4 linked regions of the Anolis sagrei genome follow. The main gene of each other region encodes a partner of the protein of the gene in region 2 in a complex. Links are inferred from orthologs where the notes say so. Each region holds a gene or a part of one and is shown on either strand. Other genes may lie near its edges. The genes, in order: GTF2H4, GTF2F1, GTF2A1 and POLR2K.

Region 1 (8,013 bases), about 140 Mb from region 2:
AGCATCTTCAATAGCCACAGTTAAAGCATGACCCAGGTGCAGGGACCCTGTGACGTTAGGTGGAGGAATAGAGAGAGAAAATGTTTCTGGCTTCCGATTCGGCAAATGATGCTGCCAAAAGAAAGAGAATGAGATCAGCATTGGCTGAAGTCAGAACAACCCTCACTAGACAATGAACTTTCAGGGCCCCAGAGATTGGATTATTAAAGCCCCTTCTATACTCCCATATAAATTCCAGATTATCTGCTTTGAACTGGATTATATGGCAGTGTAGATTCATATACTCCAGTTGAAAGCAGATAATGCAGATTAACTGATTTGATAATCTGGATTATATGGCAGTTTAGAAGGCACCTACCTGTCATGAGAATATAAAAAAAGTCCACCTTCTAAAATTCTGTAACCAACCAGATGTTTTGTGGGAAATCAAGAAGCAGAGCATAAAGCCGATAGCATCCTTCTGCTGTTTGTTCCAAATTACAGATTTAGTCTCTCTTATCTAAAATGTTTGGACCAGAGATTTTTAAAATTATTTTGGTTTTTTAAAAAAAACTGTACTTGTATATGCATAGTGAATGATGGGTGGGGGAAGGGGGCTAGTTACACATCCAGCCCTCACTGACCTTTTATCAAGAAGCTATTACTTCACCACAGTCAGAACCTTGACAGATAAAAGGAAGTCGAAAGGACTCCGGATTCTGCTACTACACTTACACAAAGTCCTTGTAAGAAGCAAACATCAGGGAAGGCAAAGTCTAAATGAATCTGGCTGCTACAGATTCAGGGGATGTTTCAAAGCCCCAGCTGGCCAGCCAATCTTGCCCCATTTCCAGGGCACCCATCCCACAGTTAGCCCGGTAGAAGGAAACATGGCATCAGTTCTCAGACAGTTGGAGCTTTGCAACATTTTCTGAGCTGCAGCAGCTGGATGCATTTGAAAGTATCCCTCCCCTGACACCTGTCTTTTTACAGGGGTTTGTTTAAGTCCAACAGTAGAATCCAGAGTCCTCACTCTTCTCTTTCCTCCATCAAATTTCTAATTGTTGTGTAGCACACACACTACTTAATACAGGAACTTAGCGACTACAGCAAGCAGCTGCTAGGAATTGTGGGAGTTGAAGTTCAAAACACCTGGAGGGCTGAAGTTTGCCCATGCCTGAACTACAACAACCTCATCCATCCTCTGTTTAAATGCCTCCGGCAAATGACAGCCTGCCAACTCCCGAGCCCTTCTTTCCACTGTCCTACAAAATCTAAGCATTACAGTAAAGATGGATATGTAATCATCTCTTGTTGGACTTTAATTCCCATCAATCCTTGCCATCATAGTCAATGGTAAGAGTGTCACCTATTCCAAAACCTATAGTGAGGGGGCCAAATATTGTCCTGATTTGTTTTTTTCCAACTCATGCTTCATCTTCCAACTCAGTATTCATCCTTCTGTTGGTTCAAAGGAGAACATTCCCCTCTCATTTATTCATGAGGATGCTTTTCTAATACAATTAGATCACAGAAACAAATTTCTACCTGGTATTCTGGTTTGAAAAATCCTTCTTTCACCCACCAAGCATACCAAGCAGCTTCAACATAGCGTGGGCTATAGGAGATGGGCAGAGGCCCCGAAGTGTCTGTGGAGGGAAATGCAATCAATACAAAGACTCCATCATTACAACAAGCATTTGCACATTCCACACACTTAAAATTTGTACAAATCTGGGTTTGTTATTGTATATCTTCAAGAACTTCCTGACTTATGGTGGCCCTAAGTCAAACCTCTCCTTACCTTTCTTTTCACCAGCTACGGTTGGGATGTCATACAGAGCCATGTCTCTTGCTCTTCTGCCCTTTCCTTGGCTTGGATGCTCATCCTGTGAAGAATAAAAACAGGCACGAAAGAAAACTCCTGCCCTGTGTTTGAGAGACCTATGCATTGTTAAAAGCTGATGTCATGACAAGTAACTATAATAATAATTTATTTATTTGACTAGTTATATGACCATTTCAAAATACAACACGAATAAAATACAAGGCAAAAAGGAGAGGACAGCAGCTGACCTTCTATTTAAAGTCAGAATCTTATTTTCCTGGTTCTTCTTTCAAGTAACTATAAAAATCATGTTGATAAGCCACTGTACATCACAGCTCTGAGGGTATATCTGCACTGCAGAATTAATGAAGTTTCATACTCCTTTAACTGCCAGGGCTCAATGCTAAGGAATCATGGGAGTTATAGAGACAAACGATAACACCAATGATTCCTTAGGATTGAGCCCTGGCAGTTAAAGGAGTATGAAGGAGTTATAGAGTCTCAGAAGCCCCAGTTGGCGCAATGGGTTAAACCTTTGTGCTGGCAGGATTGATGATGGACAGGTCAACAGTTTGAATCTGGGGAGAGTGGGTTGAGCTCCCTCTGTCAGCTCCAGCCTCCCACAAGGATGGTAAAACATCAAACATCCGGGCATTCCCTGGGCACCGTCCTTGCTGATGGCCAATTCTCTCACACCAGAAGCAATGTGCAATTTCTCAAGTCGCTACTGACACACACACAAAAAAAAGAGTCACAAAGTCCGTAGCCTTCTCTAAAGGTGCTGTTGCAAACAACAACTCCAATGATTCCACAGCACTAAGTCATAGCACTTCAAGTGGTGTCAAAATGCATTAATTTTACAGTGTAGATGCACCCTGAGAAATGGGCAGGATAGGAATCAGATGCTTAAATACATACTCGTTTCTGTTAACTCTAAACTTAATCAGATTTGTCCACAATGAGTAGTTGGGCATCATAACCTGCTTCACTCACCTTCATCCCAGCAGTCAGTCCAGCTTCAATGGACGCCAGCCTCTCCCGCTGCCGCTTCTGTTTCTCGGCCCTATTTTTCAAATGGGCCGTTTTCCCCACTTGACCGTGAGGTTCCTGCTTGTTGGCTTGGGAGTAATTCCTCCAGTGGGCAGGAGCATCCCAATGCCTCTTGTGAAGCCGAAGAAGCAGACGGCAGACAGAACACATATTTCGGCCAGGATTAAGTGATGGTGATGGCATGCTTGGAAGTGGAAGCTTTCAATTGTCGCAAAATCTTTTCTTCGCTAATAAAACAAACCAGAAATTACATATTTAAGTAGGGGAAATCCAACAGGTCAAACTCACCAGCTATGCAGAAGTTTGACAACGGGGAAAACAGGGGATGGATTTTGTATTAAAGGCACCTGAGCCTCTGTTCAGAGGCTGAGATTGTGTGAGTTGCTCAAGGACCCCCAGTGCTTTTCTATGGCTGAACAGGGATTCAAACTTTGGTATTGCAGTTAATAAAGGTGCATGAACATTGCAGAAATAATGTAGTCTGACAACTTTAACTAAAAAAAATCATTAATATTAATACTATTATCATTAATAATACTATTATTAACACTATCTTGTTGGTTTGTTTTTGTTGTTTATTTGTTCAGTTGCTTCCGACCCTTTGTGACCTCATGAACCTGTTCCTGATTTGAAAGTGTTATTTTCTGTTTAATGGTGCGATGCGTACTTTGAAAGTTTCTGGAAGTCCACCTTCTAATCAAGGTGGTCAGTTGAAACATTCACACCTAGCTCCAGCAGACAAGAGTCCTTTGTCTCACCCTGGTCATTCCACAGATATATAAACCCCTTTTCCTAGTTCCAATAGACCTCACTACCTCTGAGGATGCTTGCCATAAATGCAGCCGAAACGTCAGGAGAGAATGCCTCTAGACCATGGCCATATAGCCCGAAAAAATCTACAACAACCCAGTGATTCTGGCCATGAAAGCCTTCGACAATACATTCTCACTGTTACTATTATTAGGTGCCGCCGGTGGTGCAGTGGGTTAAAGCGCTGAGCTGCTGAGCTTGTTGACCGAAAGGTCACAGGTTCAATTCCAGGGGGCGGCGTGAGCTTCCGCTGTCAGCACTAGCTTCTGCCAACCTAGCAGTTCGAAAACACGCAAATGTGAATAGATCAATAGGTACCACTCCGGTGGGAAGGTAACGGCGCTCCATGCAGTCATGCCGGCCACATAACCTTGGAGGTGTCTATGGATAACGCCGGCTATTTGGCTTAGAAATGGAGATGAGCACCACACCCCAGAGTCAGACATGACTGGACTTAATGTCAGGGCACAACCTTTACCTTTTATTACTATTATTCTCTCAATCAGTCTCAAGGCAACCAATAAGATGCTAAAAACAATACAAAACCATAAAACGTTATGCAAGTTTTAAGAAAAATCTTTACAAAGAAGATTAAACCACACACACTGACTGCAAGCAGGAGAAAGCAGGCGGGCGGCCAAAGGGAGTGTCTACACTGTAAAATTAACCCAGTTTGGCACCCCTTTGTACTGTCAGGGATGGAGGCTATGGAAAGCTAGGGTGTTGTCGCTTTACAAGGCTTTCTCTGCCCAAGAGAGCCGGTGCCTGGCCAACCTACAGCTCCTGGGTTTCTATAGCTGGTCCAAGTGGCGCCAAATTCCTTTCATTCTGCACACACCTGCATCAGACCCCATGGAAGGAGAGGCTTGTGCTGCTTCTCTGTGGTCGCTTCCGGGTGAGGTGCATGATGGGAAATGAGGCGGGCTGGACCGGAAAAGCCAGGCAGAGAGGAAGAGGAGCAGAGGGATAGAGCCTCGCCTGGAGCATCCTTCCTGAGGGTGAGGCTGAAGGCCAAGGATGGGGAAAGGGAGAATCAAAGAGGCACTAAAGCAAGCCTGGGCCAACTTGGGCCCTCCAGGTATTTTGAACTTCAACTCCCACAATTGGCTGTTAGGAATTGTGGGAGTTGAAGTCCAAAACACCTGGAGGGCCCAAGTTGGCCCAGGCCTGCTTCAAATGCATCTAACTATCTTTCACCTTTTGTTGCCACATCAGAGATGTCCTAGCCACAAACTGGACTTTTTCGCATGGAGTCGGTGATGAAGCTCCAGAAGGTGCACTTGAAATGCAAGAATCTGCACGAATTCCTGCGAGGCCTCAGTCCTGGGGTCTTGGATCGCCTCTACAATCACCCCGCTACTTGCCTGGCTGTCTTCCGGTGAGTGTGAAGCCCCCATGTTTCCTCTTATCTGAGTGCTGCTCTTTCACCGGTCTGAGATTGGAGAAGACATAAAAACTTCGCTATGCTTCATTAAAAAATATAGCCCTTCTGATTCACAGGTTTTTGTAGCACTAAAGCTGCATAAACTGTAAATGCAATGCACTTTAAAGAGTGTGTTGAATGCACTCAATACATACAGTGTAGCAAACTCATCTAACCACTTCATCACGCTAGAGCAGTGTTTCTCAACCTCCCTAATGCTGCAACCCTTTAATACAGTTCCTTATGTTGTGGTGACCCCCAACCATAAAATTATTTTTGTTGCTACTTCATATCTGTAATTTTGCTACTGTTAAGAATTGTAATGTAAATATCCCTCCCATACCTTTTCCTATTACTCTCCCAACCCTCTATCCCAATTCTTTCCCATTTTATGTATACCTTGGAAAACTCAATAAAACATAATTTTTTAAAAATCTAATATGTAGGATGTATTTTCATTCACTGGACCAAATTTGGCACAAATACCCAACATGCCCAAATTTGAATACTGGTGGAGTTGGGGAGGGATTGATTTTGTCATTTGGGAGTTGTAGTTGATGGGATTTATAGTTCAAAGAGCATTCTGAATTCCACCAATGATGAAATTGAACCAAACTTGGCACACAGAACTCTCATGTCCAACAGAAAATACTGGAAGGCTTAGATGGGCATTGACCTTGAATTTTGGAGTTGTAGTTCACTTCACTTTATTTCTTAATTAGTCGTTCTCCACCAAGGCGGTCTGAGCGACTTACAATTTAAAATAGCATTTATACAATATAAAAACATTCAACATAAAAACATACAACAGTGACTATTTGGCAAATTAGATCTGATCACTTTACTTAAATGCACAACCACCTACATCCAGAGAGCACTGTGGAGTCAAACAATGATGGATCTGGACCAAACTTGGCACGTATATTCAATATGCCCAAATGTAAACACTGGTGGATTTTGAGGAAATAGACCTTCACATTTGGGCATTGTAGTTGCTGGGATTTATAGTTCACCTACAATCAAAGAGCATTCTGAACTCCAGCAATTATAGAATTGGGACATACTTCCCACACAGAACCCACGTGACCAACAGAAAATACTATGTTTTCTGATGGTCATTGGTGACCCCTCTGACACCCCCTCATGACCTCCCCAGGGGTCCCGACCCCCAGGTTGAGAAACGCTGCACTAGAGGGGGGGAAATCCACTTAAAATCTGGTTTCTGCCTCATGCAGACTTCTGGGGTTTGTAGTTTAGTGAGGCTGTCAAAGGCTCCTCCCTAAACTACAAACCCTAGAATTCTGCAGTAGGTAGAAACCGAATTTTAAATGGATTTTAAGTGTCTGTATATTGTTTATACAAAGTGGCATTGAATGTTTGCCGTGTATGCGTACTGTGATCCACCCTGAGTCCCCTTTGGGGTGAGAAGGATGGAATATAAATATTGTATTATTATTATTATTAATTCAAACTTGGCTCTTCGAGCAAGCATTCGGAACCCCGGAGTAAAAAGACAAACTAGAGTTGGAAATTGACCCAGGAACGGCCAAGACAATGTAACGGATGAAGATTTGAATGAGAGGACATAGTCTCTTTTTAAATTGTTTATTATGTACTGTCATTTATGTTTAATTGCACTTGATGTTTTTGCTTTATCAATGTATGTATTTTGTTTCGGCATCAAATTGTGCCGACTGTGTATACCGCCCTGAGTCGCCTTCGGGCTGAAATGGGCAGGATTGAAATAATATAAATAAATAAATAAATTCAAACACAACAAGATGAGTCCACAGCAGACAAGATCACTCTGCTGGCTGTTGTATTGGATCACACATCGGACACTTCCCAAATGTCTAGGACTGTGTGATGTATCGGCAAATAATGCATGCAGATCCCAGTAAGGTGGCCTTCTGCAGTTGGCAGATGGTAATTTTGTCAGCGCCGATTGTGTTTAAGTGCAGGCCAAGGTCGTTAGGCACTGCACCCAGTGTGCCGATCACCACTGGGACCACCTTTACTGGCTTGTGCCAGAGTCTCTGCAATTCAATCTTTAAATCCACATATCATGTCAGCTTCTCCAGTTGTTTCTCTGCAATCCTGCTGTCACCCGGGATTGCGACATCAACGATCCATACTTTGTTTTTTAACACGATCATGAGGTAAGGAGTTTTGTGCTCCAAAACTCTGTCTATCTGAATTCGGAAGTTCCAGAGGGGTTTGTCATGTTCATTTTCATTATTATTATTATCATTATTTTCGCTAGTGTGATTAGCCCTTTAGCATGCATCTACTCTGCACATTATAGTTTTGCAAAGAATTTAACCTCCTCTTCCAAAGAGTGCTGATGTCTCATTGAACTACAACTCCTAAGATTCCATAGCATTGAGCCATGGTAGTTAAAGGGAATTCAAACTACATTAATGGTACAGTGTATCAGTGTTTTCCAAACTGTGGTCTTCCAGGGCCCCATCCACACAGCTGAATAAAATCCTGCATTATCTGCTTTGAACTGGAATATATGGCAGTGTGGACTCTGATAACCCATTTCAAAGCAGATATTGTGGGATTTTCTGCCTTGATATTCTGGGTTATATGGCTGCATGGAAGGGCCCTAGGTGTTTTGGACCTCGGCTCCCAGAATCCCTGGTCGTTGCCCAATTATTATTATATTTATTTATTTATACTCAAAGCGGCTTTTCATAAAAGCATCAGAATACAATTTAAAATATGCAAACATTAAAACAGGATTAAATATAAACAGTATTTAACAATTCCCAGTTAAAAACTATTGAAGCAGTGCAGCTGAGGTTTCTGGCAATTGGGGTCAAAAGCTCTTGGAAGACTAGAGTTTGGAAATTACTATTTGCACGTTAATTTCCCCCTATAGCTCTAAGTTCTTTCCATTGACTCTCAATAGTTAACG
Region 2 (7,584 bases):
AGTTACACATTCAGGTCTCCCTATCACTGCTGTGGAGAAGGGAGCTGGACACAGAGAACTTTTTTCATTAAGTGTTGCTATAACAATTATTTTGAGAGCAACTTTGTCAAAGCAGGCCAGATGGGATTTCCAGAGATAATTGAGAGTAATGGTCTCAATTTGGGACAATATAGTACGGTGGGAAATAGTGGGCTACTAGTGTATATACCTGGCATTGCCTGAGTGTCATTGGGATTATTGCCTACCTCCTTTCTCCAGCTCTAAGAAGGCTGACCTCATAATGTCTCCATGGCAACACTGGCTGTGTTAGGTAGGCTCTCTTTGTAGCTTGTTCTTTCCTTCCTCCATTTCCCTCATGCATCTTCTCCCTCTCTTTTACTTTCTTCTTCCCTTGCATTCCCTCATATACTTTTCCTTCCATTCTTGTTCTTTTCCCTTCTTTGCTTCCTCTTCCCTACTTTTTCTCTCTTCTCTTCCTTCCTTCGTCCCTTCCTTTCTCTTCACTTCTTTCGTTTTCTTTCCTCCCCTCATTTTTTCCATTTTCATTCTCTCTCCTTCCTCTTATTTTGCTTTTTTCTCCTTCCCTTCCTTTTCCTCATACATACTTCATCTAGCAGGAGCCAAACCATTTCACTCCCTTTCTTTCTTTCCCAGTGGCATCAGAGGGTCAGTTCATCTACAAAGAGGCAATCCTTCATCTAGCCACATCATCCACTTTGACCTTTTTCTTTCTCTCTGCTCTGGGCCTGAAAGAGGTGTTTTGTTTTGTTTTTTAGTTCAAATCCCTCAACTATTTCAAGATGGATAATGAAGAGTATGTGTGCCAAGTTTGGTCCAGTTCCATGTAAGAACCTTTGTGGTACAAACAGACAAACCAACATTCATACATACATTCATACATAGACTTTTATTTAGTTTTACAGTACTTTGGATGCTGCCGATTACTAGGAACCTCTAAGAGGTCACATGCATTTCAAACAACCCCAAGATTAAAGGAACTCACCAAAGAAGTCATTTCTGGATGTGCAGTGCAGGTACTCAGCAATGACTTGGTAAAATACTGACCTGAAGGCGAAAGAATGAAATAATCAGGTTAAACAGGATGAGCAAAAGCTCTGTGAGTAAAGAAAGTCAGCAGAGGCACTGGAGAAAATGATGGCAGAGGGGAGAGAGGACTGAAAATACCAAATGGGAAAAGAGCAACAAGGAAAAACATCACTAAGGACTGCCACATTTTGCTGCCTCAAATTCTGACACTCCAGGAATATCTAGAGAAGTGTGGAGTGCCTTTTGTCGGAGCAGATTTTCTTTTAAAAGGACAAAATGTCTCCAGTGAGTAAAGGCCTAAATGTATAGGACCCGAAGTGTTTTAGAATTTGGACACATCTTGGAGATGGAGCCCAAGCCTAAACACATAATCTGTTTATGTTTCCTAAATATGCATATATATGTTTTAATTGATTTTAACTTTGATTTTAAAAATGTTTATGTTTGCATATTTGTATATTTTAAATTGTATGCTAATGCTTTTATGTTAAGCTGCTTTGAGTCTCCTTTGGGAGAGATAAAGCGGGGTATAAATATAACAATAACAACAATAATATCAGTTGAATAAAATCTCACATTATCTGATTTGAACTGGGATATATGGCAGTGTGGACTCAGATATCCCAGCTCAAAGCAGATATTGTGGGATTTTCTTCCTTGATATTCTAGGTTATATGGCTGTGTGGGAGGGCCCTGGGTTGTATGCAATTTATATATATAGATATATAGGACACTCACATCTGAATATACATATAGATATATTTAAGCCAGAACACTGGGCATCTGACTGTAAGGGTGCATCTACTACATGAAGGCAGTTCGACACTTAGGCCCCTTCTACACTGCCATATAAAATTCAGATTATCTGCTTTGATAATCTTTATTATATGGCAGTGGAGAAGGGACCTTACTTTTCACTGCCATGGCTCAATACTATGGAGTCCTGGGAACTGTATTTTGATGAGGCCCCAGCACTCTTTGGCCGAGAAGGCCTTGAAAAACTACAACTTGGTTGAAGGTTTAGAGGGCGTGATTATCAAGTTTGCAGATGACACCATATTAGGAGGGATAGTCTATACTCCAAGGACAGATCAGAATTCAAAAGGACTTTAACAGATTAGAGAGCTGGGACAAAAATTACAAAATGATTTTAAATAAGGACAAATGTAAGATACTCCACTTACGCAGAAAAAAATGAAATAGAAAGATAGAGAATGGGGGGTGCTTGGCTCAACAACAGTCCATGTGAAAAGATTTGGAGTCTTTGTGGACAACAAGTTGAACATGAGCCAACAGTGTGATGCAGCAACTAAAAAAGCCAACGGGATTTTGAGCTGCATCAAAAGAAGCACGGTGTCTAGATCCAGGGAAGTCATGGTGCCTCTCTATTCTGCTTTGGTTAGACCTCACCTGGAATAACACTGTGTCTAGTTCTGGCCACCACCGTTCAAAAGAGATATTGAGAAGCTGGGGTGGGTCTAGAGGACGGCAACTAAAACGATCAAAGGTCTGGAGAACATAAATCCCTATGAGGAGCGTCTTAAAGAGCTGTGTCTGTTTAGCCTGCAGAAGAGAAGGTTTAGAGGAGACATGATCGCCGTTTATAAATATGTGAAAGGGGTGTCATGAGGAAGAGGGAGCAGATTTGTTTTCTGCTGCCCTGGAAAATAGGACTCAATGGAGCAGTGGGTTCAAATGAGAGGAAAAGGAGATTCCACCTGAACATGAGGCAGGACTTCCTGACTATGAGAGCTGTTCTCTGCCTCAAAGTGTAGTGGAAACTCCATCCTTGGAGGCTTTTAAGCAAAGGCTGGAAGGCCATCTGTTAGGGGTGCTTTGATTGTGCTTTTCCTGCATGGCTGCAGCTTGGACTAGATGCGGTCTCTTCCAACTCTATTCTGTGATTCTAACTCTCACACATTGGACCAAGGCAGGTAAAAGGGTGGGGGGGGGGGTGTCAAACCACATTAGCATTACACTTGGTTGGCCAGAGAGAGAGCCAAATCCCTGGCTTAAAGGCCGGTCAATTCCCTTTCAAAGCCTTAGGGAGGAAGAAAAGAGGGCAAGGGGAGCCTCCCAAACGCAATCGCTGGCTGTTCTTAATGCCCCTTTCCTTGTGCCAGGCTGGGATGCCTGGTTCTAGTCTGGAGGGAAGGGAAAGGGAGTTTGGGGACAACCAAAGCCACAAAAGACAGCAGCGCCATGAAAGACTCACCCTCTTCTAGGCAGCTTCAGCCTCCTCTTGTTCCGCCGCCACTGCGCATGCGCCGGAAGCCGGCGGCCACCAAACACACTTCCGGTAGCCGAGTGCAGCTATTCTATTCCTCCCTGCGAGAGGCGTTGGCGGCCGGCAGGGGGCGCCCGCGAACTCTGAAATCAACAATCCGGCAGAGAGTTTGTGTCTTGGATGATTTTCTATGGCATTTGTTCCAGGTGCAGAGTTGATGCTTTCTTTCTTTCCCTCCCTCTTTCTCTCCTTTCTTCCTTCTCTACCCCTTTCCCTCCCTCTTTCTCTCCTTTCTTCCTTCTCTACCTCTTTCCTTCCTTCTCTCTTTGCTTCCATGCTTCCTTCTCCCTTTCCTTCTTTCTTTCTTTCCCTCCTTCTTTCTTTCCTTCTTTCTCTCCTTCCTTCCTTCCTTCCTTCCTTCTCTTTCTTCCTTCCTTCCTTCTCTACCTCTTTCCTTCCTTCTCTTTGCTTCCATGCTTCCTTTCTCTCCTTTCTTCCTTCTCTACCTCTTTCCTTCCTTCTCTTTGCTTCCATGCTTCCTTCTCCCTTTTCTTTCTTTCTTTCTTTCTTTCTTTCCCTCCCTCTTTCTCTCCTTTCTTCCTTCTCTACCTCTTTCTTCCTTTTCTCTTTGCTTCCATGCTTCCTTCTCCCTTTCCTTCTTTCTTTCTTTCCCTCCTTCTTTCTTTCCCTCTTTCTCTCCTTCCTTCCTTCCTTCTCTTTCTTTCTTCCTTCCTTCTCTACCTCTTTCCTTCCTTCTCTTTGCTTCCATGCTTCCTTTCTCTCCTTTCTTCCTTCTCTACCTCTTTTCTTCCTTCTCTTTGCTTCCATGCTTCCTTCTCCTTTTTCTTTCTTTCTTTCTTTCCCTCCCTCTTTCTCTCCTTTCTTCCTTCTCTACCTCTTTCTTCCTTCTCTCTTTGCTTCCATGCTTCCTTCTCCCTTTCCTTCTTTCTTTCTTTCCCTCCTTCTTTCTTTCCCTCTTTCTCTCCTTTCTTTCTTCCTTCTCTTTCTTCCTTCCTTCTTTCTCTACCTCTTTCCTTCCTTCTTTGCTTCCATGCTTCCTTTCTCTACTTTTTTCCTTCTCTACCTCTTTCCTTCCTTCTCTCTTTGCTTCCATGCTTCCTTCTCCCTTTCCTTCTTTCTTTCTTTCCCTCCTTCTTTCTTTCCCTCTTTCTCTCCTTTCTTTCTTCCTTCTCTTTCTTCCTTCCTTCTTTCTCTACCTCTTTCCTTCCTTCTTTGCTTCCATGCTTCCTTGCTCTACTTTTTTCCTTCTCTACCTCTTTCCTTCCTTCTCTTTGCTTCCATGCTTCCTTCTCCCTTTCTTTCTTTCTTTCTTTTCTTTCTTTCTTTCTATCTCTCCCTCTTTCTCTCCTTTCTTCCTTCTCTACCTCTTTCCTTCCTTCTCTCTTTGCTTCCATGCTTCCTTCTTCCTTCCTTTCTTTCCCTCCCTTTCTCCCCTTTCTTCCTTCTCTACCTCTTTCCTTCCTTCTCTCTTTGCTTCCATGCTTCCATCTCCATTTCCTTCTTTCTTTCCCTCCCTTTTTCTCTCCTTTCTTTCTTCTGTATCTCTTTCCTTCCTTCCCCCTTTTTCTTTCTCTTCTGCTCCCTCTTTTCTTCCTTCTCTCTTTCCTTCCCCCCTCTTTCTCTACATCTTCCCCCCTTCCTTCTCTTTCTTTCGTTCATTCTTTCCCTTTTTTCTTTCCTTGTCTCCTTCCCTCCTTCTCTCTTTCCTTCCTTCCCCCTTTTTCTTTCCCTTCCTCTTTCTCTCCTTGCTTCCTTCTCTACCTCTTTCCTTCCTTCTCTCTTTGCTTCCATGCTTCCTTCTCCCTTTCCATCTTTCTTTCTTTTTTTCTCCCCTTCCCTCCCTCTTCCTTTTTTCTGTATTGTCATTTAGCTTTTTGTCATTTAGCTTTTTGGGGCTTTTTTAAGTCCCTTCTGCTGTGTTTTTCAGTGTTTTTATGAGTGAAGGACATACATTTGGGTTGTAAGGTGTCTTGTGTCCAAATTTGGTGTCAATTCCCACAGTGGTTTTTGCGTTCTGTTAATCCCACAAATATACATTACATTTTTATTTATATAGACTAGCCGTCCCCTGCCACGCGTTGCTGTGGCCCAGTCTGGTGATCTGGAAAATAAAGTAATGAGAAAGTGTTGGTTTCTAATATATATAATGTCTTGATGCTTGTGGGTAAACAGTATTTCTTGTTGTTCCTTTGTCAGTGTTGATGTGGACAGTGTCTGGTTTGCCTACTCTGGAATATGCAACATATCATTGTCCTTTAGGGGTCTCTTTCAAATCTATGATACTATATCTGTGTGTGTGTGTGTGTGTGTGTGTGTGTGTGAATCATATCTATATCTATATCTATGGCTGGATGTCTCTTTGTCAGGAGGGCTCTGATTACATTTTCTTGCCCTGGTGAAGGAAGTTGGACTGGATGGCCTTAAATATTTTCTGTTGGTTATGGGGGTTCTGTGTGGGAAGTTTGCCCCAATTCTGTCATTGGTGGGGTTCAGAATGCTCTTTGATTGTAGGTGAACTATAAATCCCAGTAACTACAACTCCCAAATGTCAAGGTCTATTTCCTCCAAACTCCATCTGTGTTCATATTTGGGCATATGGAATATTTGTGCCAAGTTTGGTCCAGATCCATCATTGTTTGAGTCCATAGTGCTCTCTGGATGGAGGTGAACTACAACTCCCAAACTCAAGGCCAATGCCCACCAAACCCTCCTAGTGTTTTCTGTTGGTCATGGGAGTCCTTTGTGCCACGTTTGGTTCAATTCCATGGTTGGTGGAGTTCAGAATGCTCTTTGATTTTAGGTGAACTATAAATCCAAGCAACTACAACTACCAAATGACAAATTCATAATTTTTTGAGTTAAGGACATACATTGGGTTGTTAGGTGTCTTGTGTCCAAATTTGGTGTCTATTTGTCCAGTGGTTTTTGAGTTCTGTTAATCCCACAAACGAACATTACATTTTTATTTATATAGATAAAAAGGTGAGTATTAGAATCAAGTAAATACGGTATCTATTTATCTTTGGTTGGAGTTACACTTCAAACATCCCTGTTCCGACTTACATTCAAATTCAACTTAAGAACAAACCTATAGAAACCTACCTTGTCTCTAACTTGGGGACTGCCTGTGCAGGTTGAGTATCCTGTAATGCTTCAAAATCCAAAATTGTCCACTCAGATAGCTGAAATTGCAAAAGGCTTCCATTCTATGAGTTGATTGTACACACATTGTTTCATAGTTTCAGGGACAAAACAATACGGTATCTATTTATTTATCTTTGTTTGGAGTTATAAATAAAATTGTAATGTTCGTTTGTGGGATTAACAGAACTCAAGAACCACTGGACGAATTGACACCAAATTTGGACACAAGACACCTAACAATCCAATGTATGTCCTTCACTTAAAAAAATGATTTTGTCATTTGGGAGTTGTAGTTGCTGGAATTTATAGTTCACCTACAATCAAAGAGCATTCCGAACCCCAACAACAATGGAATTGAATCAAACTTGGCACACAGTTCTCCCATGACCAACAGAAAATACTGGAAGGGTTTGGTGGGAAGTGTCCTTTGGTTTTGGAGTTGTAGTTCACCTACATCCAGAGATTACTGTGGACTCAAACAATGATGGATCTGAACCAAACTCTACACAAAGACTCAATATGCCCAAATGTGAACACTGATGGAGTTTGGGGAAAATAGAATCTTGACATTTGGGAGTTGTGGTTGCTGGGATTTATAGTTCACCTACAATCACAGATCATTCTGAACTCCACCAATGATAGAATTGGGGCAAACCTCCCACACAGAACCCCCATGTGGGCCACAGCAACGCGTGGCAGGGGACGGCTAGTATTGTATAAAATGGCCTTCAGGTGACATGCCTTAGGTGTGTATGAAACACAAATGAATTCCCTTTTTAGAATTCTCATCTCCAAGCTATCTCATTATGTGTGTATCCAAAATCCCAAAACACTACTGGTCCCAAGGGTTTCAGATAAGAGCTACTCAACCTGAACTGCAGAAGACAAAGCTTGAGTTGGGAGAAAGGTCAAGGCGTGCTCGCTCCTCCAAGATTCATCATCACCTCCATACTTACCTTGTGTTGCCCTAAAGGTTCGACTTTAGTTTTCACCTTCAGCTTTTCTTTACATTGGAAGAGTCATCCTGTGAAGGAAGATCTGTTTCTTTCTCATCTTCTCTCACACCATAGACTAGGCTAGGTGTGTATTCATGTGTGTCTATATATGTATCTGTATCATCTATCTATCTATCTATCTATCTATCT
Region 3 (7,656 bases), on a different chromosome or scaffold from region 2:
GGAGTCCCATGGAGCCCATCATATGATGCTACTTCCATATGTAAACTGTTTCAAAAATGTACAGAAACTGAGGTTTGTGGAATCGGGGAGCAATTGTCTTCAGAGCTCCCAATTAGTGCGGAAACAGCTGAACACATTTAATTTAATGTGGGATGGAATGTTAGAATATCACATTGAGGAGGGAGCTAGTTTCTAATGGTCTAGCGAAGGGGTCCTCAAAATTTTTAAACAAGAGAGCCAGGTCACAATCCCTCAAACTGTTGGAGGGCCGGATTATAATTTGAAAAAAAAAATGAATGAATTCCTATGCACACTGCACATATCTTATTTGTAGTGCAAAAAACACTGAAAAACAATACAAAAATTAAAATGAAGAACAATTTTAAGAAATATAAAATTATTAGTATTTCAATGGGAAGTGTGGGCCTGCTTTTGGCTGACGAGATAGGATTGTTGTTGTTGTTATGTGTTTTCAAATCATTTCAGATTTAGGTTGACCCTGAGCGAGGGCTGGGTAAATGACCTTGGGGGGGGGGGCTGTAGTTTGAGGACCCCTGGGCCTTAGTTTGAGGACCCCTGCTCTGGAGTCTAGGATATAGAGTAACGGGTTCAAATGGCAGGGGGAGGGGGGGAAGATCCCACCTAAGCTTTAGGAAGACTTTCCTTGCAATAAGAACTATCTAGCAGTGAGATGGATCTCCTTCCCTGGAGGTTTATAAGCAGAGGCTGGATGACCATCTGTCAGGGGTGCTTTGATGGTGTTTATGCAAGGGGGAACGGGGCTAGGCTGCATGGCACTTGGGGTCTCTTCCAACTCTAGTTTCTAAAGACATTGAGAGTGGAGGGACAAAGGGGGTATTAGAAACGTCCCTTATTTCCCCCCCTATATAATAATATAATATATAAGGGGGGGCTGGTGGCGCAGTGGGTTAAAGCACTGAGCTGCTGAGCTTGTTGACCAAAAGGTCGCAGGTTCGATTCCGGGGAGCGGCGTGAGCGTCCGCTGTCAGCCCTAGCTTCTGCCAACCTAGCAGTTTGAAAACATGTAAAAGTGAGTAGATCAATAGGTACCACTCTGGCGGGAAGGTAACGGCGCTCCATGCGGTCATGCTGGCCACATGACCTTGGAGGTGTCTATGGACAACGCTGGCTCTTCGGCTTAGAAATGGAGATGAGCACCACACCCCAGAGTCAGACATGACTGGACTTAATGTCAGGGGACAACCTTTACCTTTATATAATAATCATCTTAATAATCTTTGTTTATATTCCGCCCTATCTCCCTAAGGAGACTCAGGTCGGATTCCAATATAAAAAGGCCAACATTCAATGCCTGACACAGACAACACATACAAATACAATACAAATCGTTCCAAGCGGTCATGCCGGCCACATGACTTTGGAGGTGTCTACGGACAACGCCGGCTCTTCGGCTTAGAAATGGAGATGAGCAGCAACCCCTTCAGAGTCGGACACGACTGGACTTAATGTCGGGGGGAAACAATTACCTTTAAGATACAAATAATCCAAAAGCCAAAATAGACCAAAATATATATGGCGCCCTTTTTGCGGAGGAAAGGAAAAGGAAGCCGACAGGAAAGACAACGTGTCATTTTATATCGCATAACACCGGCCGTAAGGAGGGAGCGCCGTCCTTTCCTGGCTTGGCTCCTCCTTTTGGACTTCAGCTCCCAGAATGCCTGGCAATTGGCCACGCTGGCAAAGGCCTCTGGGAGTTGAAGTCCCCGCCAAGAAACCTGGCTGGTGAAAGAAAGATATGTAGAAACCGCGTTCTCTTTCTGGAGACGCTCTACCCTTTGCGACTCTGTAGCCAGGCTTCTCCACTGAAGAGCGGGAAAGTAGGCCGAAATGACCAAAGAGGACTCACAGTGTTGGCCTTATACAGATGCCTGAGGAGTGGCGGCCCTCTAAAGTTATTACATCTATGGTCATTTCTCTCAGGGCCCTTCCACACAGCCCTATATCACAGAACATCAAGGCAGCAAATCACACATTATCTGAATGTGGACTCAGATAACCCAGTTCAAAGCAGATATTGTGAGATCTTCTGCCTTGATATTCTAGGCTGTGTGGAAGGGCCCTCAGATTTAAAGAGCGGGAAGGACCATTGAAGTAGGCCTCATCACGGTGTCCGCTTTCTATACCTGAGGAGTAGCGGCACTCTAACGTTACTACCTCTGTGGTCATTTTTCACAGCCTTAAAAAGAGGGAAGGATTGTCACAGTGTCCACTTTCAATGCCTGAGAAGTTTGTTGTTGTTCATTCAGTCGCTTCTGATTCTTCGTGGACCAGCCCACACCAGAGCTCCCTGTCAGCCATCGTCACCCCCAGCTCCTTCAAAGTCAAGCCAGTCACTTCAAGGATACCATCCATCCATCTTGCCCTTGGTCGGCCCCTCTTCCTTTTTCCTTCCATTTTCCATTGTCTTCTCCAAGCTGACCTGTGTTCTCGTGACGTGGCCAAAGTACTTCATCTTTGCCTCTAATTTCCTTCAAATGAGCAGTCAGACTTTATTTCCTGAAGTATGGACTGGTTGGATCTTCTCGCAGTCCAAGGCACTCTCAGAACTTTCCTCCAGCACCACAGTTCAAAAGCATCTATCTTCCTTTGCTCAGCCTTCCCTAAGGTCCAGCTCTCACATCCGTAGGTGACTATGGGGAACACCGTTGCTTTAACTATGTGGGTCTTCGTTGCCAGTGTGATGTCTCTACTCTTCACTATTTTATCCAGATTGGTCATTGCTCTCCTCCCAAGAACTAAACGTCTTCTGATTTCCTGGCTGCAGTCTGCGTCTGCAGTAATCTTTGCACCTAGGAATACAAAGTCTGTTACTATCTCCATGTTTTCTCCCTCTATTTCCCAGTTATCAATCAGTCCGATTGCCAGAATCTTGTTTTTTTTAATGTTTAGCTGCAACCCAGCTTTTGCGCTTTCTTCTTTCACCTTGATTAGAAGGCTCCTCAGCTCCTCGCTTTCAGCCATCAAAGTGGTGTCATCTGCATATCTAAGGTTGTTAATGTTTCTTCCAGCAATTTTTACCCCAGCCTTGCATTCATCAAGCCGTGCACAACGCATGATGTGTTCTGCATACAATTTGAATAGGTATACACCCTGATGTATGACTTTCCCAATCTTGAACCTGTCTATTGGTTCAAGATTGGGAAAGTTCTTGGTCAGTTCTTACTTCGCTGAACCAGCCACGTTGTCCGGATGCCCAACCACCGTCTCCCAAAGCAGTTGCTCTGCTTTGAACTCAAGAATGAAAAAAGGAATGTTGACGGGCAGGAAAAGAGTTTTAAAGAAGGGCTCAAAGCCAACCTTAAAGACTCTGGCATAGACACTGAGAACTGGGAATCTCTGGCCTGTGAGTGCTCCAGCTGGAGGTCAGCTGTGACCAGCAGTGCTGCAGAATTTGAAGAGGCACGAATGGAGGGTGAAAAAGAGAAATGTGCCAAGAGGAAGGCGCGTCAAGCCAACCCCGACTGGGACTGCCTTCCACCTGGAAACCAATGCCCTCACTGTGGAAGATGATGCAGAGCAAGAATAGGGCTCCATAGTCACCTACGGACCCATCCTGGAAGATTATCCTACTTGGACAAGGGATCGCCAAAAGTAAGTCTTACTGTTGCCAATTGGTCTTTATACAGATTCCTGAGGGCCTTATACAGATGCCTGAGGAGTAGCGGCGCTCTAAACATTACTATCTCTATAGTCATAGTTTATAGTCTAGAAATAGCTTTCTAAGATCTACAGAGACACTCGCTGGAACACCTCAGCAAGCGAGAGTCCAAAAGTGGCAGGCTCAAACCCAGAACCTCAACCAATGGCTGATACCAAATGAGAGAAGACTGGGCGACTTGGAAGGCGCTGAACAGACTGCGCTCTGGCACCACGAGATGCAAAGCCAACCTTCAGAAATGGGGCTACAAAGTGGAATCCACGACATGTGAGTGTGGAGAAGAGCAAACCACTGACCACCTGCTGCAATGCACCCTGACCCCAGCCACATGCACAATGGAGGACCTTCTTGCAGCAACACCAGAAGCACTCCAAGTGGCCAGATACTGGTCAAAGGACATTTAATCAACTACCAAACTTGCAAATTTTGTATTTTGTCTGTTTGTTTGTTTGCTTTGTTCTGTTAGAAATGTAATACAATTGACTGGTTGCCCTGACACGACAAATAAATAAATAAAATAAATGGTCATTTTTCTCAGCCTTAAAGAGCGGGAAGGATTATCATACTGCTGGCGTTGTAGGCCTGAGAAGTGGCAGCGCTCTAAACGTTACTACCTCTATGGTCATTTTTCTCAACCTTAAAGAGCGGGAAAGCGGGGATGAAGCGACCAATCAGAACTCTCCAGGAGGCGAAGGCGGAAGTAGCTGGGCGGGCGCGAGGGAGGGGGATGGCGAAGTCCCGCTCCTTCTCGCGAGGCTTCCCGCCCCTCCCTTCCTCGGCCTCCCCCTTCTCCCTGGCCGCTCGCGCAGCGTCTCGGCACTCGCTATATAAAGGGGCGAAGCGAGCGGAGCGGGCGGCTGGCTGGCTGGCGGCTGCAGCCCAAGGGCCGCCGTCTGAGGGCGGTCCGGTGATATAGAAACTTTAAAAAAAGCGGGAGCGGCTTCGTAAGGGGGCTCTCAGGCCGGCTGAGGAAGGAGGGGGGCCGGCTGGGGAAGCAACAACAACAAGAAACAAACCCGAGGGAGGGAGGAGGAAGGGGGGGGGGGTTGGTGCTGCCGCCTTGAACGGTAGATTGCTTTCCCTCAGGAAAGGGCCATGGCGAGCTCGACTAATACAAACCCCGTGGTAAGGAAGGAAGGAAGGAAGGAAGGCGAGGCGGGAGGGAAGGCCTCAGGATGGCGCGGGAGAGGGGCGGGAAGGGGGACTGGGGACTGGCTGATCTGCAGGGCGGGAAGGAAGGAAGGAGAGCAAGAAGGAAGGAAGGGGAGCTGCCCCGTGGCCTGCTTTGCACCCAAGGACGGGAGTGGAGGAGAAGAGCCGCCTAGTTGCCCTCTTTCCCCTTCCTTTTCCTCATGTGTGTGTATATAACCCAAGCATGGGCAAATTTGGGCCCTCCAGATGTTTTGGACTCCAACTCCCATCATTGCTAACAGCCTCAGGCCCTTTCCTTTTCCCCCTCAGCCGCGCTGAGGGGGAAAAGGAAGGGGCCTGAGGCTGTTAGCAATGATGGGAGTTGGAGTCCAAAACACTTGGAGGGCCCAAGTTTGCCCAGGCCTGATATAACCCCATTTGCTCCCCTTTTAGCCTCTTCTGCTGGACGCCAAGGTTGAAAAGCACTTTGAATTCTCAGCCCGGCAGAGCAATATTTCCTTCTGAAGAAACAACTCTTTGGTCCTTTACTCATCTTATCCCCCTTTTCCCTTTTAACCCCCCCCTCCACCTTTTTTCTATAACTCTGTCCAATAGTGATGGCTTTATTCATCTTATCACTCTTTTTCCTCCCCCCCCCCCCTTTTTCTATATCTCTGTCAAATTGTTCTCTTTAACCTCCCTCCTCTTTTTTATTTTTCCTACATTTTCTGTTTTGAACTGCCAATATATGGTATTGTATATCCCAGTTCAAAGCAGATATTGTGGGATTTTCTGCCTTGATGATCTGGGTTATATGGCTGTGTGGAAGGGCCCTGGATGAAGAAACCACTCTGTACTGCTATCCATCGTCTTGTCTTTCTTTCCACTCCTTTTCTAGATGCGGGCAGTTCAGTATTTGTCTTTCCATCTCCTTTCCCCCCCTCTTCTGAAGAAATCACTCTTTCCTGTTGTTTTGTCTTCATCTTATTTCAGGCCCCTTTCGTATCCCCCCCCCTTCCAATTTTCTTCTTTGAACTGGGATATATGGAAGTGTGGACTCAGATAACACAGTTCAAAGCCGACATTGTGGGATTTTCTTCCTTGATATTCTGGGTTATATGGCTGTGTCTTCTCTTTCTTCAGTTCATCTTCTTTCTGTCTTTTCTTTCTTCAATCCAGTCCAGTATTTCTTTTTTTCTTCTGAAGGAATTCATTTGTTCTCCCCCCCCCCTTTCCGATTTTATTTATTCATCTTTATCATTTTACACACTTCGTTTCAACTGTTTCTTTCCCTCTTCTCTCTCTCTTAAATTTTTCTTTCCGGATCCCCCCCACAACCCCGGCAGTCAAATGCTTTTTGTCTTTCCCTCACTCTTCCTTTTATTTGTAAAGAAAGCCACTCTTTTCTCTACCAGTTATTGTATTTATTTTTGTGTTGATTACCAGGCACACTTTTCAGGATCTCGGTTTCACATCGGTTTGCAATAAGCAGTCACACGAAAGAAAGAAAGGAGAAAAAAAATACCCTGCCCCTCCCTGATTTTTTTATTGTTTACTACATTTAAAGAAAAAAAAATACAATCTAAACTAAATGCACTTTTTAAAAAAAAGCCCTTTCCAATCCCCCCCCCCCCCTTGCAAAATAAATCGCTGCTTGACAAACCCTTGAGTCCAGGCGGCTCTCATTTTGTGCTCTGAGATCCATCATGGCTTCCCCTTGCTTTTCTCTCTCCCTGCTCCTTGTGTTCCTCCTCCCTGTGGCTGCCCTGTTTATATAGAGCCATTGCCGCTCTCTAATATAGACTCTGCCAGGATGGGAAGGTGCTTTCCAGCCCCACGTCACCGCCTCTCCATTTAAACACCAGATCAGCCTTTAAATAGGGAGAGAGCTGCGGAGAGCAGGCTGGGAGGTGCCTGCGCAGCACAAGCAGAGGCTGGGAAAGCGCTCTCTTTGTCGCTGGGAAGCTGCAGCATTGCACTATTCGCAGCAGCAGAGCTTTTCTATTTGAGTTGGTGTTTTGTGAGCTGGTGCTCTTGATTTTATTTGCGGTTCTTCTACTTGGACACCCGTTAGCTTTTCTTATTTGTTTCGCTTAAAGCATTTTTTGTGTTGTGCTTGTATGCAGTGAAACAAATGTAAGTGATTGGGTGACTATAAGAACTAGAAATTGCAATCTTGGCTAGTAAATGTGTTATAAAAACATTTCGGTTGTCAAAGTCATCTATTTATTGATGTGTAATTTTTTTACTGATTTATCTCTGTCCTGAAGTGCAATATGAAAAGAAAGTGGTCATTTTTCTCATCATTGAGGTGTTGAGGCTTGAGCTGATTCCTAAACTAGCAGAAAGTGTTGAGACAGTGTCTAGTTGAAAACAGTGCTACTAAACTGTTCTTAATACTGGCTATTTTTTGAATTTCAGTGCTTAGTCCCACTGATATTAATTGGACTTGACTGGATTAGAACACATTACTTTTTTGGTTTAAATTGTGATTTCTAGGTTTTGAGGGATTAAAAGGCAAGAACTTGGATAACGTTTCTGCTGCAAGAGTTATTACAATATGTAAAATACTCTCTTGATATATTATAATCTGTCACAGAAATGCAGAATGAATTTAGCATATCTAATAATTTTCAAAGTCAAAGAGCTAATACTCTTTAAAACATTACACAATGAATTATCATTATATTTTTAAGATAAAATTTTAAGAAAATAAATTTCTCTAAAGATTAGGCTTGTAACAGTAGTTTGAATTCTACAAGACCTCAGTGAAATTACTTTTTGAAATTACTTTGCAGTACTGAATAATTTGTTAACAGAGGTTC
Region 4 (7,509 bases), on a different chromosome or scaffold from region 2:
AAGCTGAGCAAATGAATGTAAAATGACAAGGAAGACTCATTCCATTGTGCTCAGAAACATCAAGCTACAAATAGGCTTCAAAATACATAAATATGAAGCCAAGTGCCTGTTTTAAGGAAAGCTATTTGACCAGAGTATCAATACAAACAGGTTTGATTGATACTAATATTTTCCACACCTCAATACAAATTAACTCATAAGCGAATGCCATTGTTTCCAATGAAAGCTACTTCCAGGTAAGTGTATACTATAAGCTTGTAATGTTAACCACTCAGAATATTTTCCTCCAGTTAGTATTAAGAGATGCTCTTTTAGTATAATACTCAGACCTCACAACCTCTGAGGATGCCTGCCATAGATGCAGGAGGAGAGAATGCTTCTGGAACATGACCATATAGCCTGAAAAACCTACAACAATGCAGTGATTCCAGCCTTCCACAATACATTGAGTTAGTAAATGCTGGCTGTGTGAAATTCCCATCCTTCAAAGCAGGACAACTTACCAAATTACTTGGAAGACCAGCAATTGCTTCAAATGAAGTGCTTCATTATTATTGGAGGAGGGAAAGTAAAACAAAGAAACCAATAACCCCCCCCCCCCAAGAGAACTACTAGTAGTAGTATCCTAACTAATTAATAAGTTAATTTGAAGCAAAGCATGGAGTTCACACAAAAGCAATGAGCACTGAGTCTAGTAACATTCTATGTGCGTTCTTCCTTCCTTCAGGAGCAGGCAAGGGGACAGACACAACTCTTCTCATGACACAACCAGCTGGAGAGTCACTACAAGGGCGTTGAAAGGAGGCAAGAGGAGGAGGAGGAGGAAGAGTGTGCCCAATGGAAGGGGGGTTTAAAGCGGGGAGGGAGAGGATGGTGTCCAAGGAGCAGCGCTGAACTCCTTCCCAGCGTTGCCTCGGAGAAGAAGGGAGAGCTCTGCAAAGAAGCATCAGCAGCCACTTCTCCTCTTCTTCTTCTTCCTCTTCCTCCCTGTTGCTTCAACCGGCTGCCCTCGTGCGCCTTCCTCCTCAGGGTTTCCCTCGCTCCATTTTGAACTACCCGCCTTTCCCAACTGATTAGGCTTCTCCCCTCCTCTTCCTCCTCCTCTTTGGCTGCCAAGGAGAGGAAGCCACAACAAGAAAGCCCAGCCAAGAAGGCAGCAGCAGCAGCAGCAAAGCGCCCAAGAGGCTTTCCTGCACTTCTTAGAACTGAGCCAGGGCAGTGAAAGTGACCTCAAGCTACATTGTTCCTACAATGTAATCCACAAATGTCAAAGTCATTGTCATTTTTGTTTGTCGAAGGCTTTCATGGCCGGAATCACTGGGTTGCTGTGAGTTTTCCGGGCTCTATAGCCATGTTCCAGAAGCATTCTCTCCTGACGTTTCGCCCACATCTATGGCAGGCATCCTCAGAGGTTGAGGGGTCTGTTGGAAACTAGGCAAGTGAAGATTATCTATCTGTGGAACGTCCAGGGTGGGGAAAAGAACTCTTGTCTGCGGATGTTGCAGTTGGCCACCATGATTAGCATTTAACAGCCTTTAATTGCAGTCCAACACACTTCTGGTTCTCATGTTGGGGAAAGGATAAGAGATATTTTCAAGTCAGACATCATATCCATAAGCTTTATATCTAAATTCAAACCCTTTTTCTCCAAACTAAACAGAACGAATTGCAGCCTTCCAGATGCTACTGTATCACAGTTCCCATCAGCTCTAGTCATGATGTCTCAAGAGGAGGAATGCAGGTATTGTAGCCCAGTGTCTATCAAAACACAGATGCACCCAAAGAATTGGTGATTTATTAAGGGGAGCCCCCAGTGGCGCAGTGGGTTAAAGCACTGAGTTGCTGAGCTTGTTGATCGAAAGGTCGCAGGTTCGATTCCGGGGAGCGGCGTGAGCTTCCGCTGTCAGCCCTAGCTTCTGCCAACCTAGCAGTTCGAAAACATGCAAATGTGAGTAGATCAATAGGTACCGCTCCGGCGGGAAGGTAACGGCGCTCCATGCAGTCATGCCGGCCACATGACCTTGGAGGTGTCTACGGACAACGCTGGCTCTTCGGCTTAGAAATGGAGATGAGCACCACACCCCAGAGTCAGACATGACTGGACTTAATGTCAGGGGAATACCTTTACCTTTACCTTTACACCAGGCATGGCAAACTTTGGCCCTCCAGGTGTTTTGGACTTCAACTCTCACAATACCTAACAGCCAGTGCTGTTAGGAATTGTGGGAGTTGAAATCCAAAACACTTGGAGGGCCAAAGTTTGACCATGCCTGTTTTACACTGTACAATTAATGCAGTCTGATACCACTTCAACTTTCAAGGCTTATGGGAATCATATTTTTCCAAGGTCCTCAGCCTTTTCTGTCACAGGGCTAGTGCAGTATCAAACTATAACTCCTATGATTTCATAGCATTGAGCCATAGCAATTAAAATACTCTCAAATATGTTAGATAAGAATGGGAATCACCTCCTCCTCTTTTTAAAGGTGTGATTGGCCCTCCTTTGGGCCAATGGTGAGGAAAGCTGAAAATTGGAATCCAGTAACATGTGGGGTTCATCTGCACTTAATACAGATATATCCCATGTGTTGCTGGTGGGTTTGACACAACTTTAATGACTACGGTCCAATGCCACGGAGTTGTAGTTGCTGGGATTTATAGTTCACCTACAATCAAAGAGCATTCTGAACTCCACCAATGATGGAATTGAACCAAACTTGGCAGACATAACTCCCATGAGCAACAGAAAATCCTGGAAGGGTTTGGTGGGCACTGACCTTGAGTTTTGGAGTTGTAGTTCACCTACATCCAGAGAGCACTGTGGACTCAAACAATGATGGATCTGGACCATACATGGCACAGATACTCAATATGCCCAAATGTGAACACTGGTGGAGTTTGGGGGAAATGGACCTTGACATTTGGGAGTTGTAGTTGCTGGGATTTATAGTTCCCCTACAATCAAAAAGCATTCTGAACCTCACCAATGATAGAACTGGGCCAAACTTCCCACACCAAACTGTGTTTTCTGATGGTCTTTGGTGACCCCCCCCCCCAGGGGTCCCAACCCCTAGGTTGAGAAACGCTGCTCTACACTATAGGATTGATGTAGTTTGATACCACTTTAACTGCCAAGGGCTCAGTACTGGGAATAATTTATTTATTATTTATTTAGAGCTTTTATAACCCTGTCTTCTCAACCTCTGAAGAGGGACTCCGGCCGGCTAACAGCAGAAAAGCTACCTATCTAACCGCATCTCGGCCTATGAACCTACCAGGACTTTGAGATCTTCCGAGGAGGCCCTGCTCTCGATCCCGCCTGCTTCTCAAGCACGGCTGGCGGGGACGAGAGATAGGGCCTTCTCGGTGGTGGCTCCTCGGCTGTGGAACGCCCTTCCTACCGACATTAGACTAGCATCATCTCTAATGGTATTCCGCAAAAAAGTGAAGACCTGGCTGTTTGTGCAGGCGTTCGAATAACTAGTGCAATGATTGGCAATGTACATAGGAATGGACAATGGATGACGAATCTGGATTATGTTTTGGACGATGAGACGATAGTGATTGGTTATTGTAGTAATTGTTTATTGATTGGGTAATGTGTTAAGTTGGTAATTGTTACATTATTGCATTGAATTATTGCTGTTTGTATTGATTGTGAACCGCTGTGAGTTGCCTTCGGGCTGAGAACAGCGGTATATAAGCAAAGTAAATAATAAGTAAATAAATAAATAAAAGTCAACACAAATATAGTAAACATAACAGCATCGTAATACATTAAAATACAGATCATACAATATCATACAAGTACAAAAGTCAGGTCGTCAGAATAAAATCACAATAAAATCATGGAAGTTGTAGTTCGACAAGGGCTTTAATCTCCTCTGCCAGACTGCTCGGTCCTCATGATTCCAGAGCAATTAGTCATTGCAGTTAAAGTGGTCTCAAACTGCATTAATTTGATAGTGTAGATACACCTAAAAAAGCCTAAAGCTTTCACTCTGATGTGAAATTGTAGTTGATATTAAGGGCCCTTCCAAACAGTCATATAACCCAGAATATCAAGGCAATATCTGCTTTGAACTGGGTTATCTGAGTCCACACTGCCATATATTCCAGCTAAAGCAGATAATGTGGGATTTTATTTAGCTGTGTGAAAGGAAGCAAAGAAAGCAACTGCTTCTTTAGTAAAGGTTAAGTTGCCAAGGCAAAGAAAATCAGTGTTAATTTTCAGCCTGTCCCTTTAAGAAAACATCGGAGAGGAGCAAATTCAAAACGCCTCCATGTGTCTGAATTGGAAAACTACTCCTAATGGAAGGGGCGGAGCTTAGGGTTTCTCTCCCCTTTGCAGAGCTTTCAAACGTCATCAGACTGCGCCGTCAGAGGAAGGAGTGCATGAGTTGTGCACGAGCTGGTAGGGCGCATTGTTTTCAATCAGATTGTTGATGGGAATTTTGTTTAGACGGGGCTGAAAGGGACTTTGGAGCACTTTAAGAGCATCTACACCAGGCATGAGCAAACTTGGACCCTCTAGGTGTTTTGGACTCCAACTCCCACCATTCCTAACAGCCTCAGGCCCCTTCCTTTTCCCCCTAAGCCGCTTAAGCGGCTGAGGGGGAAAAGGAAAGGGCCTGAGGCTGTTAGAAATGGTGGGAGTTGGAGTCCAAAACACCTGGAGGGCCCAAGTTTGCTCATGCCTGGTCTACACTGGATTTGAAGCAATTTGACACCACTTTTAACTGTCATGGCACAATACTATAGCATCAGGGGAGTTATTTTATAAGGTCTTCAGCTTTCTCTTCAAGATAATGCTGGTACCTTAATAAACTACATCTCCCACGAGTCAATTATATGGAGTCGTGACATTTAACAGTGGTATCAAACTGCATCAATTCTGCTGTGTAAATGCACCCCCCAAAAATGAAATTGATACCAGTTGAATAGCTCTTATTTGAAATGTTTGGATCCAGAAATCTTTTGGAGGAGATTTTGGAATGTCCGTATTTGCATAGGTGTACATAAGAAGACCTTGAAGGAGCTGGGGGTGGTGACGGCCGACAGGGAGCTCTGGCGTGGGCTGGTCCATGAGGTCATGAAGAGTCGGAGACGACTGAACAAATGAACAACAACAAACATAACAAGATCTCTTTCAGCCCTTCCGCACGACCATATAACCCAGAATATGAAGGCAGATCACCCACAATATCTGTTTTGAACTGGATTATTTGAGTCCACGCTGCCATATAATCTAGTTCAGTGTGGATTTTATACTACTGTGTGGAAGGGGTCTTAGAGATGGGACCCAAGTCTGAACATGAAATTCATTTGTGGGTTGTTGTAGGTTTTTCGGGCTGTATGGCCATGTTCTAGAAGCATTCTCTCCTGACATTTTGCCTCTGACATCCCCCTGTGACCCCCAGGCTGAAGAAACGCTGCTCTACATTATAGGATTGATGTAGTTCGATACCACTTTAACTGCCAAGGCATCCTCAGAGATTATGATGTTCAGACCTCACAACCTCTGAGGATGCCTGCCATAGATACAGGTGAAACATCAGGAGAGAATGCTTCTAGAACATAGCCATATAGCCCGAAAAACCTACAATGACCCAGTGATTCCAGCCATGGAAGCCTTCGACAATACAAATTCATTTGTGTTTCGTATAAGCCGTTTAGACAGTTTGTATATATTGAACCAGCAGAAAACAAAGGCACTGTTATTTCAACTGCCCTTGAAAACAGTTTGGATTTTAGAATTGCATATAAGGAATGCTGAACGTGTACCATAAGTTTTCACAAATTGGGTTGTTGTAGGTTTTTTCAGGCTGTATGGCCTCTAGACCATGGCCATACAGCCCGAAAAAAACCTACAACAACCCAGTGATTCCGGCCATGAAAGCCTTCGACAATACATTTTCACAAATTGTCTGCTTCCTCAGATGCATGGATTCCTTGAAAGTCCATGAAAGTTTATGCCAACCTTGTTCTCTTAGGGCCCTTCCACACAGCCATATAACCCATAATATGTACTTTGAGTTGGGTTATCTAAGTCCACACTGCCATTTATCCCTGTTCAAATCAGTTAATGTGGGATTTTATTCAGCTGTGTGGAAGGGGCTTCAATGAGACTCTAAGATGCTCCAAGATCTCTTTGCATATATGTTGAGTCTCATTTCCCTCTCTGGGCTTCTTCTTTGTAAACACATTAACAGTAAGATTGAAGGATGTTTGAAGGGCTGAAGGACGCTCTATGTGTTTGAAAGCTGTAATTGGTATGAATGAGTTGTCTTCCTTTTACTAGCAGAAGATGGACACCCAGACTGATGCACCTCCACCAAAGCAGCAACCAATGATATACATCTGTGGAGGTGAGTCCAGTGCAATGTCATTGTAGTAGGAAGAAGTCTGAAAATGAGACCCAAGAAAGTAGATGAAAATGACATCAAGGGTACTTCTAGAATACATTTTCACTCTGAAATTGCACTCCCTCTTTCTGGAAGCTTATGGGAGCTCTAGACAACAATGTCTTATATTTGTATCCTCCAGAAATAAGATTTGTTTCTTCTACCTTTCCTCATCTAAATTCCTTTAAGGATTAAAACAGAATAGAAGCACAGCTACTTTCATTCACTGGAATTATTCTGCTAAATCATTTGGGAAATTATTATTTGGGTATTGTGCTTATGATCATGGCCCAAATTGTCTTTAGGTAAATGAAATCACACAGCATTAAGTCATGGCAGCTAAAGTGGTGCCAAACTACATTTATTCTACAGTGTGTAGATGTATTCTTTTCTGGGCGTACTGCAGCTGCGTTGTTTTGCTTTAACATTTATCTGGTGCATACTCTCTACTACAAATCCATGTACTATCAGTGCACTGTGGGAAGGATACTAGTTTGTGTTTCAAAGACTGTAGTTCATGGTATATAAATATATTGTGTGAGCTGCATTGAGGATACTAAAAAACTCCTATATTAATGTATTGTTTTAACAAATTCCAACTTGTGAAATGTTAAGATTCTTTCATAATCACAGTGAACTTAAATTTATAGACTATGATGAGAGGTTCTTAATTCCACTATTTTAGTAAATAAATCAGTCAAAATCTGTACTTTTAAACAAGAATGTTTAAAAATTATAAAATGTCAAGTGCTTCTGTTGCTTTATTCTCAGTTCTTTTGCAGTTGGTTTCCAGGATTGGCCTCATAATGTAATTCTTTTTCTTCATTTCAGAATGTCACAAAGAAAATGAAATTAAAGCAAGAGATCCTATCAGATGCAGAGAATGTGGTTACAGAATAATGTACAAGAAAAGAACAAAAAGATGTATCCTTCTATATGTGTGTCTTCCTTGCTTTATTTTCATACACTGATTCAGACTATATGAACTTCTAACATTCCTTTAGGCTGCAATGTTATACAAGTGTAACAACAAAGATTCATGGGGCATTTCTGAGTATATATGTTTAGGATTGCACTGTAGCCTTGATTTTATACTGATAGTCTC

Evidence for each region.
Region 1: GTF2F1 (region 2) and GTF2H4 share a complex: the UniProt entries of both Homo sapiens proteins name them as parts of the TBP-based Pol II pre-initiation complex. The link is inferred for Anolis sagrei from reciprocal best matches to the Homo sapiens genes GTF2F1 and GTF2H4.
Region 3: GTF2F1 (region 2) and GTF2A1 share a complex: the UniProt entries of both Homo sapiens proteins name them as parts of the TBP-based Pol II pre-initiation complex. The link is inferred for Anolis sagrei from reciprocal best matches to the Homo sapiens genes GTF2F1 and GTF2A1.
Region 4: GTF2F1 (region 2) and POLR2K share a complex: the UniProt entries of both Homo sapiens proteins name them as parts of the TBP-based Pol II pre-initiation complex. The link is inferred for Anolis sagrei from reciprocal best matches to the Homo sapiens genes GTF2F1 and POLR2K.

The regions. Positions count from the first base shown.
Region 1 is NC_090022.1:24,318,655-24,326,667, forward strand, and holds the start of GTF2H4 (general transcription factor IIH subunit 4), read left to right. Parts: upstream 1-4,576; 5' UTR 4,577-4,665; intron 4,666-4,882; 5' UTR 4,883-4,914; coding exon 4,915-5,045; intron 5,046-8,013. Other genes in the region: VARS2 (valine--tRNA ligase, mitochondrial), read right to left, coding at 1-111, 1,528-1,628, 1,784-1,868, 2,801-3,040. UniProt on the Homo sapiens protein: Component of the general transcription and DNA repair factor IIH (TFIIH) core complex, which is involved in general and transcription-coupled nucleotide excision repair (NER) of damaged DNA and, when complexed to CAK, in RNA transcription by RNA polymerase II.
Region 2 is NC_090022.1:159,537,914-159,545,497, reverse strand, and holds the start of GTF2F1 (general transcription factor IIF subunit 1), read right to left. Parts: upstream 3,336-7,584; 5' UTR 3,263-3,335; intron 1,066-3,262; 5' UTR 1,016-1,065; coding exon 1,004-1,015; intron 1-1,003. UniProt on the Homo sapiens protein: TFIIF is a general transcription initiation factor that binds to RNA polymerase II and helps to recruit it to the initiation complex in collaboration with TFIIB. It promotes transcription elongation.
Region 3 is NC_090021.1:309,778,613-309,786,268, reverse strand, and holds the start of GTF2A1 (transcription initiation factor IIA subunit 1), read left to right. Parts: upstream 1-4,481; 5' UTR 4,482-4,795; coding exon 4,796-4,825; intron 4,826-7,656. UniProt on the Homo sapiens protein: TFIIA is a component of the transcription machinery of RNA polymerase II and plays an important role in transcriptional activation. TFIIA in a complex with TBP mediates transcriptional activity.
Region 4 is NC_090024.1:31,136,325-31,143,833, reverse strand, and holds the start of POLR2K (DNA-directed RNA polymerases I, II, and III subunit RPABC4), read left to right. Parts: upstream 1-4,335; 5' UTR 4,336-4,414; intron 4,415-6,301; 5' UTR 6,302-6,307; coding exon 6,308-6,368; intron 6,369-7,235; coding exon 7,236-7,328; intron 7,329-7,509. UniProt on the Homo sapiens protein: DNA-dependent RNA polymerase catalyzes the transcription of DNA into RNA using the four ribonucleoside triphosphates as substrates.